Rattus norvegicus: one gene and its partner. The protein of the gene in region 1 interacts with the protein of each later gene in a biochemical or structural test. Links are inferred from orthologs where the notes say so. Each region holds a gene or a part of one and is shown on either strand. Other genes may lie near its edges. The genes, in order: Btk and Sh3bp5.

Region 1 (10,236 bases):
CACTGCCCACTCTCTGAATGCCCTCTTCAAAGACGCCTCAAAATGCAAAAATTTCAGGTTATTTGAACCCTAGCTTTTCTCACTGCTGACCCTCACCAAAGTGAAAATAAAGCCTGACTCCAAAAAAGAAATTTAGAGAGTTATGAGCAATTGAGTTTTAGACAAATGGAGGATTAAAATAAACTCGTTTAGTGAAAAAGTTAGTGTAGAATAAAGCCAGAGTTTTTTTTTTTAATCACTGAAAGTGACATGAAAATGAAGTAAAGATGTAGAGGAAAAGAACTCAGTCTCTCAAAGCCTGCTATTAGGAGCAGAACTTGGTACACTATCTCTGGAGGCAGTTTGGCAATATGTAGAGAAATGCAAAATGCACACACAATTTTTCACATTTCTGTATATATATGCATATATATTGTGGTGTGTATATGTGTGTTTATGATATGTGTGTCTGTTTCTGTGTACATGGTGTGTGTGTGTGTGTGTGTGTGTGTGTGTGTGTGGTTTTTTTCATGGTGTAGATGTGTATATGTATCTGTGTGTATATATCAGTACCTGTATGGTGTGTGTGTGTGTCTGTATTTGGGTATGTGTGTGGGTATTTGTGTGTGTGTGTGTTTGTGTGTGTGTGTGTGTGTGTGTGTGGTGTGTCTGTATGGTGTGTACACATGCACAAGTATGTGCCGACGCCTTCAGAGAGTGTCAGAGTTACAGGATGCTGTAAGTGGCTTGATATGGATGCTGGGAACTGAACTCCAGTCCTTTGGATAAAGAGCAGGCACCCTTCTTACCTGCTGAGCCATCTCTCCAATTCCTCCTCCTCCTCCTCCTCCTCCTCCTCCTCCTCCTCCTCCTCCTCCTCCTCTTCCTCCTCATTTCTCTTGTTATTTAGACTTTGAGACAGGGTTTCGCTGTGTATCCCAGGCTGGCCTTAAACTCACTATGTGATCCTCCTGTCTCAGCCTCCTGAGTGCTGAGAGGGCACTCATACTTCATAGCCATGGCTAGGAATAATGGTAAAGAAAAATCTTAGAATTGTTTTTTTTTTTTTGGCAAGAAGTATGTTGCATGGCAGGATGAATGGATATATGGATAATTTTAAACATAAGTAACCTATACATGATATGTGCAATATGATTCCAAATCTAAGAAAAGTACACAGGAAAAAACAAAAAGATGCCACGATTCAAATACATCTATATAGGAAGTTTGTGGTTGATTTTTAAATTTTTAGTATCATTAAACTTGAAACATTTTCTACAATGAATTTGCATTATTTTGATCTAATAGGGAAAAATAAATGTTTAACCAAAGGGAAACAAAAAATCATTTGAAAAATAAGCCAGATATAATGGAAATCTTCGTTATAAATCTGTTCACCTGTTGTGTTGACAAAGTAAGTATTTTTCAGTCAAATTTGAGCAGTGTTTCCTGAGAACTTATTGCTAACATTTGGGTTGCCTTGATACTATGAGCCTGGCATTGTAAAGACATTTCTTCTGCCTGGGCTTGATGATATATGCCTCTAATTCTAGTACATGGGGACGCAGAAGCAGGGAAATTCTGAGTTTAAGGCCAGCCTGATCTACATAGTGAGTTCCAGGATAGCCAGGACTATGTAATGAGACCTTCTCAAAGAAAAGAGAAAGGAATAGAAAAGAAAAGAAGAGAAGAGAAGAGAAAAGAAAAGAAAAAGAGCTACTGGGTTTAATAGCACCACATAAATTGGGTGTGGGAATGCAGGCCCATAATCCCAACACTCAGTGCACAGAGGAAGGAGAAGATCAGAAGGCCATGGTCATCCTTGACTACATAGGAACAGCCTCAGCTACATGGAACCTTGGTGGGGTGGGAGGAAGAAAAATCAACCTAAATCAACCTGGGAAGTAATAGCATGCTACAGAAACTGCAGGAGCTATAGATGGATGAAGATGGACAAGGTACACAGGCTACACATATTAATTTTATTATGTTTGTTGTCAAGAACCAATGAAATAACCCATGTAAGATGTTGGTCAGAAGTTGGGATGTGTGGCTCAGTGGTAGAGCTCTAGCCTAGCCCGCACAAGGTCCTGAGCTTCATCCCTAGCACCACAAACATAAACGATAAAATAATCTAAAGTGACTGACAGCTAGATGACACTAGAACAGGACTTCTTTCCTTTTTGTTTCATAAAGAATAGAAATAGCCAGATGCTTGATGGCCAACTATCAAGAGCTTTAAAGGAGAAATAATGAGAAAATGCTACTTCTTTGATATTCTGGTTAAGTAGTTCTGTTGGAGTACTATTGACTCACAGCTCTCTCATCAACTCTCTCCAATCGTAGGTGAGCTGGGTCATTTCCTCCATATTGCTTCAGTTGTTTCTAGTAGTATTTCATCTTACCCTAAGCAAGGATAATTGCCAGTAATGATTTCATTTATTGATTCTTCAAGTGCTATTGATATTAATGCTTTGGCATGGTGCAGGTTGTGTGATAACTGAACTCTGACTAATAGGCTTCCTCTTTTTGAATTCTACTGCTGCATATAGAGCTGAGAGGCTGCAAAAAGGTGCCTATGTGTACTCCTTGTATTTGGATTTTAATAATGTTACAACACTGAAACTATGTGTCACACCAACAACTCGGATTTTCTCCCTTTTCTTTCTTCCCACCTGTATGAAGCCCTCTCAGTATATGTGACATTTCTGTTACTTCAGTTTCCACTGAGTCTCTCACCCCTTGACTAACACATGCAAGGTCAGCTCTCATCATGCATATTTTTGTGTGTGTTTGAATGGCATCTATTAGCCAATGAAATCACTAGAGGCAAAATTAGAGCTTCCCACAATAAGTAGCTCCAAGGCTCTACCTGTTATCTTCTATATTATTGGCTGGTGGACCAGAGGTACCTAAGAAGGAAGTACCTCCTTTTTAGGCTGTGTGAGTCTGGATTGCATTCTAAGGAAAGGAAGAAGAACGAAGGGATAGCAAACCATGGACATTGCAGTAACCATGCAGTTCAACGGTCTAGAGGTAGAGGCTATCTTACTCCTCGCTCAGAGTGGCATAGTGGCTTACTTCCTCATATTAGACTAGCACTAAAGCTTACCTCGACACAAGCACTGTACAAATTGGATTTGTTCAAAGAAGGAAGGAAGGAAGGAAGGAAGGAAGGAAGGAAGGAAGGAAGGAAGAGGCAACAGCAGCACATGTCTTATAGGACATTAGAGCAGGTATCAGGACTGAAACTGACAATGGGTCTAAGCAGGAACGTGTTCACTAAGATCATACAACATAATAGAAGGTAAAAAGGCTCATGGTTCCTTGGGATGCATTTGACCCTCTACTGCTCATGCTACTCAGTTTCCTTAGGGTTTTATTTTGCCTTCTGTAATTTGGGTCTTTGATTATGAAAAGACACTTGATTGTAATTCATCATGAAGCAAGAGTGATATTATCGCAAATGGCTTAGCAGTCAATAAGTAATAATGACTTATTAGTTGCAATCAATAAGTGATAATGACTTATTAATTACAAGCAACAAAGTGATAATTACTTAGTAATTATAATTAATAAGTAACGATGACTTATTAATTACAATTACTAAGTAATAACCAAATGATAAGTAATAATAACTTATTACTCCATGACATAGCAATTAATAAGACTAGAGTATAAGGTTTGCTGTGTTACCACTGCTTGTCAGTAATTGGAGAATTATGCTATTAAGCGAAAATTTGGAGGTTGGCTGAAACTGAAGGTAGGACTGACGGCTTGTCACTCTGGTGGGAGTCCATTTTAGGCAGAGGGCAAGAAAGGGGACTTATGTAGCAAGGTGAAGGGAAGGGTTTGCATTTCTGCATCATTTCTTTTTAAAGATTACTAACAAAACACTAACCTGAGCTGGAGAGATGGCTCAGCCATTTAGAGCAATGACTGCTCTTCTAGAGGGCCTGAGTTCAAATCCCAGCAACCACATGGTGGCTCACAACCATCTGTAATGAGATCTGATGTCCTCTCCTGGTGTGTCTGAGGACAGTGACAGTGTACACAGATACATAAAATAAAGAAATAAATCTTTTTAAAAAATTAACCCAACCCACTGCCAGAAGGCTGCAGCAACTGTGCCATAGACAGAAAGCAGAGATCATTCTGACAGTCTCTGAAACCATTTTTGTCTTCTTAGCATGGTAATAGAACTGTCTGGGGTTGGGGATTTAGCTCAGTGGTAGAACGCTTGCCTAGCAAGTGCAAGACCCTGGGTTTGGTCCCCAGTTCCGGAAAAAAAAAAAAAAAAGAACTGTCTACACCACAGGAAAGGGCAAAACAACTGTACATAGCACCAGGCTTTAATTAAAAACCACCAAACCAAACCAAACCAACCCCAACCCCCCCTTGTTCTCCCTCCTTTAAAAAAAATCACCTTTTCAGAGGAAAAAAAGTAGAAGTGCTGACTTTACTTTTTTGGTTTTTATAGTGCCACAAAAAGCAAAAGGTATTTCGTGAGAATAAAATTTCACACTCCTTCCAGGGAAAAGGCCTCTGATTCTAAGCTAAGTTCCAAGGAGATATAATGATTTTTTTGTTACTCTGTGGTCCGTTTTTATGACTATCATCTTTTCACATATGTTTCTAATGAAACTTTAGAATTGGCAGAATTGTGTGTAAACTTTAGGTAGATTGAGGTAAGAGTGTGTGTGTTTGCTCACACACATACGAGCGTGCGCGTGTATGTCTGTCTGTCTGTCTGTCATTCTTGAGCTGTGCTTGGTGTGCATACCTATAGTCTAGATAGCACTGCAGATGCTGAAGCAGCAGAATTGGTCTGACGTCTGGGCCTGTCTTGGCTTCCAAATGAGTGGAAGGTCAGCATGAGCTACATTGGGGTTTCAATCCTCAGCACCACAGAAAAGCATTTGATGGCTTTGTGGAATTTTCTGGAGAATTCTAAGCATATTTCTCTTCCTAAATAAGCACAGCTGGCATCCTTAAGAGTAACATAGTTACTTTACTTTTTAAAAAAATATATGTGTTATTTTATTGTATGGTTATGAGTGTTTTGCCTGTACTAACATATATGCACCACTAGCATAGTGGATGCCCAAGGACAGAAGAAGGCACCAAATATCCTGAAACTAGGGTTACAAGTGTTTGTGAGCCATCATCTGGGTGTCAGAAACTGAATCCTGATTTTCTGCAGGAACAACAAGTGCTTTTAACCACTGCTCCATTGATACATCACTTTTACCTGGTGCCATCTGAAAGAAACCATCTAAGGAGAAGGGAGAGGGAGGCCGAAGGGCTAAAGTACTGTAGGAAAGCTGGTCTCAGCTTGAAAACAAAGCTCTCCTTTATACCCTGGTTAGCAGGGAGTGAGCTAAGTCACCTGGCTGGCAGTTATTGTGTGCTCATAAGTACAGGTGAAGCCTCCATGTCTTTTTAGCTACAGACCTGAGCGGGTAACTTTCGAAAGATTACATCATTGTTTAAGATCCTGGGAACTGAAAGTTCAGTGTGTGCCTTAGTGACTTCTGGTACTTGAATTCTCCCTTTGAGCATATCAGGGTCAATGGTTTCACAGAAAATTTTGCAGTTTACAGATTTGGAATGTGCCATAAAAGGGTAAATAGTGTAACGTGGTGTCTAGATATTCCTGACCACCCGAGGGCACACTGTTGGCCTACAGAGCATTCAGTTCCCTTACACAAGAAGCCCAGTTTTATAAACTCAGCACGTAGAATCAATCCCCTGGTTAAATAGTATGCATTCACTGTACTTGAAATTTGACCAAGTTGGGGACTGTGAAAGAAGATGTTCAGGCAGAAATAAGGCTCCTTGCTAGTGCTATCTATTTGTGTTTTGTTTACAACAGGTAGCAGGGTTAAGGCAGAACCAAGTAGGACAAAAATGACTATGCTAGAACCTTAAAACCTTTTACTATCCACAGCACACAGACAAGTTCCAGAGAGAGGAAGCCATGGCTGCTGTGATACTGGAGAGCATCTTTCTGAAGCGCTCCCAGCAGAAAAAGAAAACATCACCTTTAAATTTTAAGAAGCGCCTATTTCTCCTGACTGTGCACAAACTTTCATACTATGAATATGACTTTGAACGTGGGGTAAGTTTCCCAAATTACGAAGCGCAAATTTCACTATTTCAAGGACATAGTCTTGGATCTTCTGTGAGACACGAGATATGTCTTCCATGGTAGCAAGGGTTGGTGGGTAGGAATTAAGTAAACCTAAGTACATCAAACTCAAAAAAATATTTCCTAGCCTAGGAGGAGGTACAGTCATGCCAGGGAAAAAAGTCAAGGGTGTTAGGAAGCTATTCAGAATGTCTTACCATGGGATTGTGTGGTTGGTAAGAACTCACTATATGCTTGTTGAGAATAAAATCCAAGAACTTGACATCGCTTTTTTATTTCTGTGGCAAAAATGCATATAATCATTTATTCTTCTATGTTATCTGCTTCCCATTTGGTATTTAAAGGTTAGATAAAATGTTGGATTTTTTTCAAACTAACAGGTTCTGCCAGGCACAGTGACACATACTTTTACTCCCAGCACTCGGGTTTATGTAGTGAGTTCTAGGCCAGCCAGGGCTACATAGTGAAACCTGTGTCCAAAACAAACGAACAAAAACAAAACAAAACAAACAAACAAAAAAACCAAAAAAAGGTTCTGTTAGGTTGCAAGTACCACCTCACCACGACAGTGACTAGATAACAGTGTGTAAATATCTGGTTGCTTGATCACTCGTAATCTTCCTCCATTTTCTTCCTCATTCTTTCCTTCAGAGAAGAGGCAGTAAGAAAGGTTCAATAGATGTCGAGAAGATCACCTGTGTTGAAACAGTAGTTCCTGAAAAAAATCCCCCACCAGAAAGACAGATTCCAGTTCCGGTAAGATGAAGCTTGTGTCAAAGAGGGGGAGCTACAGACTGTAAGGCGCTTGAAATTCTCAAATACTCCAAATACAACGGTGGTGGTGTAGTGCATTGTTTTGTTTCCTTAACAAATTCTTCACAGGGAGCCAGCAAGATTGTTCAGTGGGGAGGGGAACTTGCTGCCACACCTGATGACTTGAGCTCCATCCCTGAAAATTGTCCTCTCACCTCCACCTAAGAACTGTGCCTCATATGTGGACACTCGCGCACGCGTGCGCACGCATACACACACACACACACACACACACACACACACACACACACACACGAAACAAATAGCAAGAATGCAAGAAAAATAATTGTTTTCATTCAGGCTGGATATGGTAAAGTGCTTGCCACAGCAAGCCCAAGGTCTTCAGAATCCCCAGAATTCACCTCAAGCCAGGCCTGGCAGTGCATTTGTAAACTCAGCACTCCTATGGCAAGATGGGAGGTGGAGACAGGAGAATTCCTGGAAGCTCAAGGTCCAACTAGTTTGACATATGCAACAGCTGAAAAAGTGACCTTGTCTCAAAGAAGGTGGGAGGCGAGAACTGATACCCGAGGCTGTCCTCTGACATGCACAGGCACACTCCTGCAAATACATACATACACATACATACATACATGCATGTTTTAAAAATTGCTTTCCTTTTTTGAAGATTTACTTTTAAATATGTGTATTATGTTTATATGTGGCTATGCATGTTATATATATATATACATACGTCTATACATACATATATATACACACTCATATACATTATATAATTAGAATATAATATTATTATATACCTTGACTTATTTTCTTTGGGAAGGGGTTGGTATTTTAGATTTTTTATGGGTGTGTGTAGCATAAGCTTATGCAAATACACATGAACCTGTTTGAGTGTATGTGGGAGCCAGGGGCCTTTCTCTGTCAGTCACTCTCCTCCTTTTCTGTGTAAACTTTTAAAATTATATTTATCTGTGTGTGTATTATGTATGTATGTATGTATGTATGTATGTATGTATGTATGTGTGTATGTATGTATGTACTCGTTATTTATTTGAGACAGAGTGATTGCTAGCCAGGAATACATTATGTAGACCTGCCTGAATTTAAACTCAGAGGCTCACCTGCCTCTGCCCCCTCAGTGCTCGGATTACAAGTGTGTGCTAGCAGGCCTGGCTGCACTTAGTTGTTTGTTTGTTTGGTGCATGTAAGTGGGTAGGTTCAAACGCACCACAGCATAAATATGGAAGCCAGAGGTCAACTCATGGAAATCAGGTCTTGCCTTCCACCATCAAGTTCCTGGAGATTGGACTGACGTCACCAGGCTCGGTGACAAGTGCTTTGACTCTCCGAGCCATTTGGGGAGCTGGAGTTACAGACATTTATTAACTGCCAAGTTGGTGTTGAAAATCAAATCCAGGTTCTCTGAAAAAAAAAACAGCCATCTCCTTAGAAACTATCTCCCTATCCCCCCTTTAAAAGGTTTACTACTTTGTGAATGTTTGTGTGCATGTATGTGCACTACATGCATGCCTGCTACCTGGTGTCAGTGGAGGCCAGAACACTGTATAAGTTCTGCTGTTTTCTGGGTCCCCTGAAATTGAAGTTGCAGGCAGTTGTGAGCCTCCATGTAGGGCCTGGGAACCAAATCCTGGTCCTTTGCAAGATTAGCAAGTACTCTTTGCTTTTTCTGGATTTTCAAGCAGGTGTGTGTGTGTGTGTGTGTGTGTGTGTGTGTGTGTGTGTGTGTGTGTGTCCCTAGCTCCTGGAACTTATTCTGTACACCAAGCTGGCCTCAGAGTCACAGAGATCTGCCGGCCTCTGCCTCCCTAGTGCTGGGATCAAAGGTGTGTGCCCCAAACATTTTTTTAAGGTATTTGAGTGTTTTGCCTGCATGTATGTAAAGATGCTGTGTTTGAATGTCTGGTGTGAATGGAGGCCAGAAGAGGGTGTCAGAGTGACTGGGCCTAAAGTTCCAGGTGTTTGTGAGCTGTGATGTGAGTCCTGAGATGTAAACTGAGTCCTCTGCAGGAACAGGCTCTACTCTTAATTGCTGAGTCATCTCTCCAACTCCAATAATGCTTTTATTATTTTTGTTTATATTACATTTCATTTTCTAGACGTTGAAAACTACGTAGGATGTATTTCTCTCCCCATTCTCTATAACATGAGATATTTCAAATAATAGTTAAATTTTCAGAGAAAACATATTTTATTGCTGACTTATTTTTACCGATAAGATTAAACAATAATGTGTCATTTGTGAATTGTATGTTTCTATTTGACCACTTTTTTGAGGTATTTACTGAGTTTCTCCCACTTTCAAAGGCATCTTGATATAAGACTATCAGTCCTTTGTTAATATTATTGTGTTGAAAATATTCTTCCAGTTTTTTAGTCTTTGAATTTGGTTTTGGTTTATTTTATTCTGCCCATGCCTCTTTCCTTCCTCTTGCCTATCTGTCTCTCCTCCTCTTCCCCCTCTTGCCCCTCCCCCCCTCCTCCTCCCCCTCCTCCCCCTCCTCCTCTTTCTTCAAGAAATGGTCTCTGTATGTATTTCCAGATGGCCAGGCTGGTCTTGACCTTATGGAAAGCAGGTTCTGTCTCCCAGATAGTAAGATTAAATGTATATGCCAACACATACAGCTCTTTCTTTCTTCTTCCTCTTCCTCTTCCTCTTCTTTTTCTTCTTCTTCTTCCTCCTCCTCCTCCTCCTCTTCTTTTTCTTCTTCTAAATTTTCTTCTTCTTGGATATTTTATCTATTTATATTTCAAATGTTCTCCCCTGCCCTGTTTTCCATATCCCCTCCCCCTGCTTCTGTGGGGATGCACCCATTCCCAGCCACCCACTCCAACTTCAATGCCCTGGCATTACCCTACATTGAGGAAACGAGCCTTCACAGCACCAAGGGATTTTCCTCCTATTGATGCTGGACAATGCCATCCTCTGCTGCATATGTGACCTCTTTTTCTGTTTGTATTTTTGACAGTCTGACAGTCTCCCTCTGTAGCACAGGTAGCCCAAGTTGGCTTAAACTCCCTCTGTACCCAGGCTCCCAAGTACTGGGATTACAGCTGTGTACCATCACACCCACATCCTCATTTCTCTATAATTGTTTTTTTGGCAGTGCTGGTACTTGAATCCAGAATATCGTGCATATAAGGCAAGCACTCTAGCAGTGAGCTACAGCCCCATCCCATCATGCTTCTACTTTCATCTTATTTGCTTAATTCTATCCGAACTTTACATTTGAGTGTGATGTGAAATAGCAATCTAATTCCTAATTGCTGAGAAATTACATTTTTGCCAATGTTTTGAAATGCCTATGGAT
Region 2 (10,761 bases), on another chromosome or scaffold:
CCAGGGCCTTGCGCTCGCTAGGCAAGCGCTCTACCGCTGAGCTAAATCCCCAACCCCTGGCCTCTACCTTCTAAATGTTAGGGTTACAGAAGCAAGCCTGGCTAATGCATCTTTTGACCACACCCCCAGACCCACACCCCTAGCCCCACATCTCCGTTCCCCCTGATCAGAACTTTGCCAGGGTTGCTTTCTTACCGCTTGCTCCCACCCCGTTCCCCCTGATCAGAACTTTGCCAGGGATGCTTTCTTACCGCTTGCTCCCACCCCGGGGTCTACAGCCTGGTGCTCTCCGGTTGTTTGCCAGCTACCCAGTCAGTGAAAATGGAAAGTCTTTAAAGCAAGGTTTAGTCTTTTCCACCCCACACCCTGACACGAAGCCAGAGGCCAGAGCCTCATACACACGCATGTGATTGGGTTCTTGACTCCAGCTGAGTTCGGAAGTACAGTGGGTCACGAAGGGAGTGTGCGCTAAGTGAAAGTCCTGCGCCATTTTGAAGACTTAGCACACAAACACCTGTAGATGCTGGGGTTACAGTGCTGAAGACTGCTTCCCTGAACCATGCGGGGTGGAGGTGGTGTGTGTGTGTGAGTGTGTGTGTGTGTGTGAGTGTGTGTGTGTGTGCGTGTGTGTATGTGTGAGTGTGTGTGAGTGTGTGAGTGTGTGTGCGTGTGAGTGTGTGTGCGCGTGCACGTGTGTGCATGTGTGAGTGTGTGAGTGTGTGTGAGTGTGTGAGTGTGTGTGAGTGTGTGTGCGCGTGCACGTGTGTGCATGTGTGAGTGTGTGTGTGTGAGTGTGTGTGAGAGTGTGAGTGTGTGTGTGCGCGTGCACGTGTGTGTATGTGTGTGTGAGTGTGTGTGAGTGTGAGTGTGTGAGTGTGTGTGCGTGTGTGAGTGTGTGAGTGTGTGTGCGCGTGCACGTATGTGTATGTGTGCGTGTGAGAGTGTGTGTGAGAGTGTGTGTGTGTGTGAGTGTGTGTGTGAGAGAGTGTGTGTGTGTGTGAGTGTGTGTGTGTGTGTGTGTGTGTCCTCAGCTTCCATCCTCAACAGCATCCCGTGTGCCCACCCCTATTCCTGCAGACCCCTCCCCCAAGTCCTGCAGATTGACCTCAAGGCCTTGGGCTTGTCAGTGAGCATTCCTCCTCTGAGCCACACTACCAGCTCCCAAGTTAATTATTTTGTTACACCGAATCCCTGTTGAATTTATTCTACTGGGGATAGTCTGAGTTAAACAAAATACATTACCACTAATTTCCCCTATGTCTTTTGTAATTTTTACGGAGCAACTAGGGAGCTTTTAAATTGCTTCTGTGGCTTATTAATATGTCTCTGGGTCAGTCCAGGTTGTAACCCTACCAGGGGAAGCCACCCAACAACACACCCAGCCAGGCTGCTCTACTCGAACCTCAGCCATACCATGTAGCTGTGAGCCCTTGGCTGTGAACTGACTGCGTTAGGAATTAACCAAAACCCAAGTGGCTGCGTACATCTGTGAGGGACTTTTTTCTAAATTAAATCATATAAAGTGGGAAAACCCACTTTTTAATCCAGACTGCTTTTGAGGTGAGAAGATCCACCTTTAACCTGGACCACACCTTCTGCTGGTAGCCCACAGAAAGGACTTGGAAGGAAGAGGCTTGCTCTCCTGGCCTGCTTGTTCTCACTCCCCCTAGCAAGTCCACTCCTTCACTGACATTAGAGCCTACTTCCTTAGGACTCCAGTGCATTCCTGAAGACCAGCTAAGACATCAAGTTTTGTGGACTGAGCAACTACTGGATTCCTGAACCTGCCATTGGTAAACAGCCATCGTTGGACTGGTTGGACAGTGGCCTTTAAGCCATTCTAATAAACCCCCTTTCTGTATAGAAAGAGAATCATTCTATGAGCTCTGTTCATCTAGAGAAGCCTGACAAACACGCCAGGGCTCCAAATGTGACCCAGAGCCTAGCAGGAAACACCTGTCCGGGGACTTCCTGTGACACACCAAATCTGTGGAATTCGGAAATCAGGGCTAACAAGAGTTTAACAAATGAACCAACCTAACTTCCAGAAGGCAGGTGCCATGAAGCCCAAGTTATGGGGCTATGAGACCACCCTGTTCACACCCAGAATGGTGACCAACAGTGGATAAGTGAGCAGAAAGGACAGAAGAACCATGGTTGGCCGTCTCTCTCAGAAACCTGATCCTTGCCACCCCCAGCTCTCTGCCTCCATGGTCCCTGATTGCCTGCCTGCCTTCCTGCCTGCCTTCCTTCCTTCCTGCCTGCCTTCCTTCCTGCCTGCCTTCCTTCCTTCCTTCCTTCCTTCCTTCCTTCCTTCCTTCCTTCCTTCCATGAGACAGAGTCGTTTGCCTCAAGCTTGCTGCTTGTGACTATGTGACCTCTAACCCCTGATCCTCCTGCCTCTGCCCTGCAGGTGCTGGGACTGCAGGAAAGTGCAGCAGACCTAGTCAGCTGTCCCTGAGTTCTGTGAACCCGGCCTCAAAAGCCCATCGGCCCTGGGCCTCAGTCCAACACTGCAAACATAAACAAGACAAACTTTCTGCTCAAAACAAGAAACAAATTCTTTCCAACTTGTCCATGTACGTTTGGGATGGAGTCTATGGAGTCTGAAAGTAGCTGGGTACAGTGGCGCAGGCCTGTGACCCCAGTGTGTACACGTGAACCCAGAGTTCAAAGCCGTCCTCCACTGTGTACTGGATTTTGAAGTCAGCCAGGACTACATGAGAATGTTTAAAACACACACACACACACACACACACACACACACACACACACACACACAGAGTGAGAGAGAGAGAGAGAGAGAGAGAGAGAGAGAGAGAGAGAGAGAATATTCAATGGGCAAACTCATGGTTTCCAATTGCCCAGTTTCCCCCTAAAATTGGCAGATATTTATTTGTTTGCTTGCTTAGTGCACTAAGAATTTGAGATCCTCAGAGTTTTCAGTTGCCCAACTTCACAGTGAGTTCTCCAATTCCCTACATAGGTGAGAATGGGAGTCCGTGATAGATAAACGCAGAGAAACTTTAGCCCACACTGCCACATATGGATCTGTGACTTCCAAGGCTACACGCTCTCCAAAAGCAGGCTGCGAGTGAACTCCAGCTTAGTATTTTCCTTTCCCTCACACCACACACCCCGGCTCTGAGGGGCCTGGTGCTCTCCGCTTTCTCCTTGGCCCATCCTGCTCCCTCTACTGTAGAAATTGGTTCTCTCTGCAGCTCTCCGAAGTCCCTTAGCCCTGACAGTCACTCACAGGGGTGTGCTCCCATTGGCTGGTAACCCAACCACTAGAAATTGGTAGCTGTGAAGAATCCCAACTTGTTTACAGGAAGGCTGAAACATTCTCAAGTTCAAATCAAGTCTTATCTCCCAAAACTTTTCCCAGCAGGAAGGCCCTTCCCAGCCCAGACATCTTTTTTGTTACCATTAAGATAATTACATTCTGCACACAGACAGTGGCGGGGAATCAGAAAGAGGGGTGAATCATTAGGATGGCTTAAGTCCGAGGGAACCATAGCAGTTCCAAGCACGAGTGGAATAAAGAAAATACCGTGAGACATAAACTACATTGAAGAGTTCGGCTAAGTCGCAATTCTTTTAGCTTTTCTACAGATACAGGAATATTGGGCCTTACGCATTGTTTAATACCCTGCTCAGCCCTTGATTTTGGTCCCAGTGGAGCCTCCATAATGAAAAACAGCACTTGAAATTGGATCCACACGCATCCGCCCACAGCCTGGACTCGGGTGTGTTTTACTGTCCGGCACACGCTGTCGCTCAACATCCAAGCATGGGCCTCCAGCTATTAAAACAAAACTAAGCAGCCCAGGGTCAAAGGTGACTGACACTGCTTCACCCAACAACAGCGCCCCAGCTCTCTGTACCTCAAGTTCAGTCTCCCGTCTGTTGATGTCATCGGTGGATTGATTTAACTTCTCCAGTTCTCCCTAATGAAGAGAGAGAGGGGGAGAGAGAGAGAGAGAGGAGAGAGGTTACCAGGGCTAGCCTTTTGTCTGTAGTGTAACAGTTACATTTCCCTCGAATGATACAAGCCAGTTCATTCTTCCTGAAAACAGCTGAGGATCGGCTAAAATACAAAGCCTCTGCCATTCCTAAAGTCTTTTGTAGACTGCATCCTTTTTTTTTTTTTTTTTTTTTTTGACATCTTTAAGGTCCTACAGGTTTATCTTTCCCTGAAAGGTCATTGTTTTTTTTTTCCAGGTGAACTCACCTGTTACAAACAGTAATTTAGTCAAAACAGCACCCTTTGCTTAGGAAAGAACTTTTCAAGGAAATCAGTACAGAAACATTCCGACACACTGAAACACAAGGCCAGTGCAGCCGGGCCAAAGGCAGACTTCCAACATTAACTCATCATGGCTAGTTTCCTATAAAGAGATGATTTTGTTTTTCTAACCGCACACACATTATTTGCTCTGCCTACCTGGGTGCTGTTGGTTACCTGGCTTTAATCGGACCTCTTTTGAACATTTGCAACTTGACACTTTGTAAGAAGGAGCTGACATGAGGTAACTCATCTCTACTCTGTGAACAAAGGTCTTGCTAACAAAATTCCACACCAAAACCACAAGATTCTGAAATCCAAACCCAGGGTCTGAATTAACAGAATAACCAATGAGAAGGCTATTTCTGATCTTGAGTGTATTAATTTGACAAAATAGTTAATTTAAGCCCAAGCTGGTGAGTTAAAAGCATGTTTGTATTTCTTTATCTGTGCATTTAAAACCAATTATGGGTCCAGAAATTGCAACTATGCTTAATCGCATTTTTTTAAAAAATGATTTATGGAAAGGGTACCAAACAGGTCGTGGAAAGGAATTTGCTTTGTGCTTAGGAAGGTGAAGAGGTTAAGCTGTCACTCCTGGAAATTGTTTTTTAACTCTCTCTCCTGGAAATGGAGGAGCAGAAAGCCGGGCTTCCCTGCTCTCCCTGCCTCCACGCTTTGCGCATCAGCTGTCCCTGGTGGGTGTTCACACTGACCTCACAAGGAAAAGGAGGGTTTTAAACCAGTCTCGGGCCAAGTGCAACACCATGCCAATGGTGACAACGACATCCACCATGTACTGACAATGAACCAAAAGAGGAAGGTGGCCCAGGCCAGGCACCTCTGCCAGGTGAGGGCTGGCGAGGCGCCCCGCACCGGTGCAGTCTACACTACAGGGGCAGGCGACAACCACCTTGCCCTGCTCTCCCACCACGATGTCCGCATCCACGCAGCCAGGGTAACGCTGCGCAGAAGCTCCGAGTCTGTGCAGTGCTCCCAGCGCGGAAAGCCGCGCCGAGGTACCCCGACTCCGCTCGGGGCCCCCGCCCCCTTTTTCCTTTGTTGCAATCTGCTTGAACCGCTGGTCTTGTTGTAGGGACCCTCGGATTGGGCCGAGGGTCCGCAGGGATCCCCGCAATCATCAGGCCGCCTTCACGCGGGCACCGAAGCCTTCCGCGGGGAGACTGAAATGGGGTGCCCCAACCCTTGGTGCAGCTCCTGGATTTAGGCAGCTCCCACCCCGTGATTGCGAACACGCGGGGCTATAAGGCGAGTATCCGCGTAGGCATCGACTTCCACATCAGCCCTGGCGGGGTGCGGCTGTAGGGTCCTGTCACACGCGTCCTACCTGGATCCGGGGGTCCACCTCTTCCTCCTCCTCCAGGCCCTGTTCCATCCTCTCTTCCTCCTCCTCTTTCTCCTCCGCCTCCCGGGCGGGCGGCGGGAGCTCCACCGGCTCCTCAGAGCGGCTCCGTTTCAGCGCCGTGTCCATGCGGGCAGCCAGGTCGCAAAGCGTGCGCAGTGGGACCGGAGCGCGCTGAGGGCGGCCTCGCCGCAACCGGGTAGGACTGGGCGCGCAGCGCTGCCACCCCGGGTGCTCCGCCAGCGGGTGCCGAGTGATGGAGGAAGTGGGCGCGGCTGCCCCCTGTCTGCAGCGGCCTGCAGCACACCTCGGCCGCTTCGCCCAGACCGCCCTGATAGCCTGTGTCACCCGACGCTCTGTCACAAAAAGCCCTGGAGTCCCGGTCATGGCCACTAGGAGAGACGCCGCCCAGTGGCTCACTGGCCCGCGCATGGGCCGCCTTAAGCTAGCTTCCTCCTGCCTCCAGTGAAGCAGATCAAGGCACAGAAGGAAAGTTCAGGTGATTTCCATTCTCTAAAGCTACTTTTGTGTCTACTTAGTTCCACAGAAAAAGGACCTCTACGGTAAGCTTGTCTGTACAGGAGATAGAAGAAAGCTAGCCTCCAGCCACCGAGTGGACATCCAAAGCCTGGAGTCTGCTGGACAAAGTTCAGCAAGCTAAGGCACGAACTCTTAGGGCCTACCTGGATATCCTGAATGCACGAAGAGCCCATGGAGCTGGGGGAGTGGGGGTGGGGTGGTCTAATAGATCGGGGTGGCTTTTTTTTAAAGAGATCGCACTGCCTGCTCGTGGGTAAGCTTGGCCAGTGTAGGAACTATGTGGTTCTGCCCAACATCACCTAGCTAGAGCTTGCCTAGCCAGCGGGACATCACAAAAGGGCTAACAGTGGAAGGGTTTCCCTGTACGGTTACAGGTGCCGGGACCACGTGAGGTCAGGGAAGACCTGGTCAGATGGCCGAGCAAAGGGAACACTTTGTAGAGGGAAGCTGTGGTCCATCCCATGGGGTTTGGAGGACAGCTTTGTTTGGAGGAGAGAGGAGTTCTTGGGAGCCTGTGATCAAAAGAAGAGTTGCTTCTGCTGCCCCCGCACCCCCCCCAAGCAAAGCAAAAGGGGTCACTGTTGGGCAAGGCCCCACCCCTGTTTGATGGAGACGGTCCAGGTGTGTTCCCTAGGTTTCTTTCTAAAGAGATCACACCTCTTTGTTGCTGGTACCTTGCTGGCCATTCTGGGAGAGGTGATTTAAAGTTCTTTGCTAAAGGTACAATTCCAAGGATAAGGCCGGAACATGGCGGCCATTAAGGATCAGGCGGGCTGGGCAGTCTCGTCTCAGGCTCTCACGGGCTGAACTGGGTTTCAGCCAGGTTGTTCCTTCCGCAAGCTCTGAGGAAGAATGACTTTCAAATTCATTTAGTGTTGGTTAACCTCAGGTCTGGGGATCTGGTTTCCTTGCTGACAGCCAAGGCCAAGAATAACAACCCTGGGGGTGTCCGCCTCTTTTCTCCCATGGCGGGTCTTCTTCAAAGCCAGCACCAGAGAATCTCTCTTGTACCACAGGCCTCACGTGCTTCAGTCTCTCTTTCTGGAAGAGCCTGACCCTGTTTCCAACACTCCCCCTGATTAGGTCAGTCTACTGACTTGCCATCACTCACTTTGAAACAGCCTCAGCTCAGGCTGCTGTCAGGTTCTCATGACCTGGGACTGGCCCTGACCTTCTGATTTTCCTTCCTCTGTCTCCCAAGTGCTGCAGTTTTAATCAAGCGCCCCTGTACAATTCAATATACAACTCTCTCTCTCTCTCTCTCTCTCTCTCTCTCTCTCTCTCTCTCTCTCTTTCTCCCTCCCTCCCTCCCTCCAGTTTTTCTTTTTTCGGGGGTGGGGGGTGGGGGGGATGGGACACGGTTTTCTGTGTAGCCCTGGCTGTCCTAAAACTTGCTCTGAGGACCAGGCTGGCCTAGAGCTCAGAGATCCCCCTGGCTGTCTCTAGTGCTGGAATTAAAGGCATGTGCCACCACTGTCTGGCTGGCAGCACCCTACTTCCACCCCCCAAGGTCATTACCACATGGACAGAGTGACATACTCTTTGTATTACAAGTTCTCAGACTTATACTGGGGTAACCCCACCAGGCAGCAGGAAACACTTTGCTAACTACTCCACATACTGAAGGAGGACCCTTGTTGGGGAGGGCTGCTGTGTCAAAATACCACAGCTCCTAAATGGCACCCACTCCTGATTCTGTAAGCCAGAAATCACAGGACAAGATGCCAGCAAAGTCAAGAGCTGAGAAGGGCCCTCCTGGGCTTGTAGACTTCCATCTGCTCAACGAACTTTATGTCAGAAAGAAAGCCTTAGGAAAACTCTGTGGTCTCTTTTTATACATATATTAATCCCATTTGCTCAGACCCTCAACCCTCCTGGCCTTATCACTTCCAAAGCTTCAATTTACTTCCTAAGACTATTTGGAGTTAAGAGTTCAGCATGGGTGAACAACCTGAGGCAAGTCCCAGAGGATCACAAGTTCTAGACCAGCCTGAGCTACACAGCCAGAACTCAAAACAGTGGCTGCTTACCCCTCCCCCCAGCACCCTGTGGGCTAGTCCCAGTTGGCGTAGCTCTGGCTGGGATCCTGTTGGCCACTTTAGAGACTTTGAGCTTAACTTTACAGTTTGAGATGCCCCAGGGGCTGGTTAGGTAAAGTACGCTGTGATGATCCTTTCCTGGATCTGCGTTTGGTCAATTTCAGGAAGCACCGACTACCCGATCACAATGTGTCGTTCACATCATGAAAACAGCTCTCAGTGCTTTGTCCAGTAACCTGTTTCAGGGGTGGCAACCCTGCCAGGCTTTCAGAGGCTCTGAGAGGAGGGGCTTTGGGGAAATGATCCAAACACGCAAGTTCTGCCTCTGCCACTGGGATGGCCGTAGATGACCCCAGAACCTGACGAGACTGCTGGAAGGTAATGGAGTTGTGGAAGTTGCAGGCTAGCTGAAGAAAGTGGGTCAGTGGGGAGCGTATCTTTCCCTTCCTCCTCTGCTTCTCGGCCACCGTGAGGTGAACAGCCTCCATTATCTGCTCCTGACGCCATAATGTTCAAGGCTTGCCTCAAGTCCAAGGCATGAACTAAAACTAGGAGCTAAAGTAAATCTTCCCTTATTTCTCTCATGTATTTGTCACAGTGATGATTAGGGGCTGGAGAGGTGGCACTGGGTGATATTCTAGGGCAGGGATTCTCAACTTTCCCAATGCTGTATAAGTCTTTAAAACAGTCCCTCATGTTGTGGTGACCCCAACCATAAAATTATTTTCATTGCTATTTTATAACTAATTTTGCTACTGTTATGAATCATAATGCAAATATCTGATACCCAGGATGTCTGATATGTCACCCTGTGAGGGTCGAGGCCCTTTCGATAGGTTGAGAACTGGTCAGACAGAATTGAGACAGAGGACCTAGGTTAATTTCCCAGGACTGCACGGCAGTTAAGAATGTCTCCAGTTCCAGGGGCTCCTGATGCTGTCTTCTAGCCTCTGTTGGCTAGAAGGCACACATGTGGTATACAACATACAGAACACCTATACACATTAAATAAGAAAAATTTAAAAAGTCTGATTAACACAGGTGGAATGCCTTAGTCAAAAATCCTGAGAAGTATTTTGCTTAAAGATTCCACTGGTGTTTAATTTATTTTTATTGCCCTGTAAAGGTTTGTTTAACCCCACACAGTGGGAGAAATATGCCGCCTGTGTTTGTAATCTGCCTTATTACCACTCCCTCAGGAGGAAAATCTTCCCAGATAAAACTCACAGCTCCGTGCTTCCCAGCTGCCCTTTAGAAGTGGTGTAATCTGGGCGGGACGACAGCAAAGACGTGTGTCAGGCTAGGCTTGCGCTGGCCTGGTCCTCCCTGGTTGGGACATCTCCCAGGGCCTGTGTGGATGAAGTCTACCGTCCTCTGTGACCCTCCCTTCTGCAGCCCTGTCACATTGCTGTGCCTGTGTTGTCCACATCTGATGTCCGGGGCAAGCAAACGAGCTGAGCTCCCACAGAGGGGCCCATCCTTGGTCCTCCCCTCGAGCCTGAGCTTCAGCGTGTTTCCATTTATACCCACTTGGTTTATTTACTAAACGCTCAGTGGCAGCCCCAGCATCTCCCGGTATCACATTTCCGTCTTCAGCAGGACAGCTGTGCTGATGGTCCTTGGAATCTTTTTCATGCTAGGCAGGGTGACACATGCCTTTAGTCTCAGCAGGGTAAGCGACATTAAATGTTAGCCTTTTTTTTTTTTTGGAGACAGGGTCTAGCTATGTAGATAGATCAGATTTGCCCTCACAGAGATCCACAAGCTTCTGCCTCTTGGATGCTGGGATTAAGATACTCAGCTAATATTAGTCTTATCTGCCAAGCACTCTAAAACTTTTGTTTAGCACAAGGAATTCAGAACTTGTTCACTCTCTCACCTTGTAAGATTTCATTGTGTTCATCTATTTATCGCCCCCATCTTGTGACAGCTTAATGCAGATGTTCGAATTCCCTCCCACCAATAAAATGCTTGTTCACATCTAACCCATTCTTGGAATCTCTTTAATTTTCTTTTAATTTCTTTTAAAACTAGCCAATCTTGAAAGACTGTGAGGTTGGACACCAGCTAATGGGGGACACACACAGTTACTACCTGCCCTGGGACAAAAGCCCAGGGACTGGAGAGATGGCCTGGCAGTTAAGAACACTGGCTGCTCTTCCAGGTGACTCAGACTCTATCCCCAGAACCCACGTGGCAGCTTTAACAACCTTCTGTCCCAGGGGGATCTGTCCCAGACACACTGCATGCGTGTGGTGCACAGACATGAAACACGCAGGCAAAATGCTCCTGGACATATACTTTGTTTTTGGTTTTGTTTTAAGAGCTTCCTATCCTGGTGTGCTTGGTAGCCCATTTGGACCTTGCCGGGTCCTTTTTGCAAAAATAATGCTCTTTCTAAGCCATATTCACTGTGTGTTCCTCTGGAAATTCATTATGGCAGCATTTAGGAAGTAGAAGCAGGGGGTTTCTGTGAACTCAGGCCAGTGTGGTCTACATAACAAGTTTCAGGCCAGTTGGGGTTATATAGT

The links.
Region 2: the proteins of Btk (region 1) and Sh3bp5 form a complex in vitro, tested with the Homo sapiens proteins (2 studies listed by BioGRID, with this or other methods). The link is inferred for Rattus norvegicus from reciprocal best matches to the Homo sapiens genes BTK and SH3BP5.

The regions. Positions count from the first base shown.
Region 1 is NC_086039.1:102,042,354-102,052,589, reverse strand, and holds part of Btk (tyrosine-protein kinase BTK), read left to right. Parts: intron 1-5,929; 5' UTR 5,930-5,959; coding exon 5,960-6,100; intron 6,101-6,781; coding exon 6,782-6,886; intron 6,887-10,236. UniProt on the Homo sapiens protein: Non-receptor tyrosine kinase indispensable for B lymphocyte development, differentiation and signaling. Binding of antigen to the B-cell antigen receptor (BCR) triggers signaling that ultimately leads to B-cell activation.
Region 2 is NC_086034.1:6,648,930-6,659,690, forward strand, and holds the start of Sh3bp5 (SH3 domain-binding protein 5), read right to left. Parts: upstream 5,783-10,761; 5' UTR 5,781-5,782; coding exon 5,637-5,780; intron 3,951-5,636; coding exon 3,888-3,950; intron 2,832-3,887; exon of another isoform or gene 1-2,831. UniProt on the Homo sapiens protein: Functions as a guanine nucleotide exchange factor (GEF) with specificity for RAB11A and RAB25. Inhibits the auto- and transphosphorylation activity of BTK. Plays a negative regulatory role in BTK-related cytoplasmic signaling in B-cells.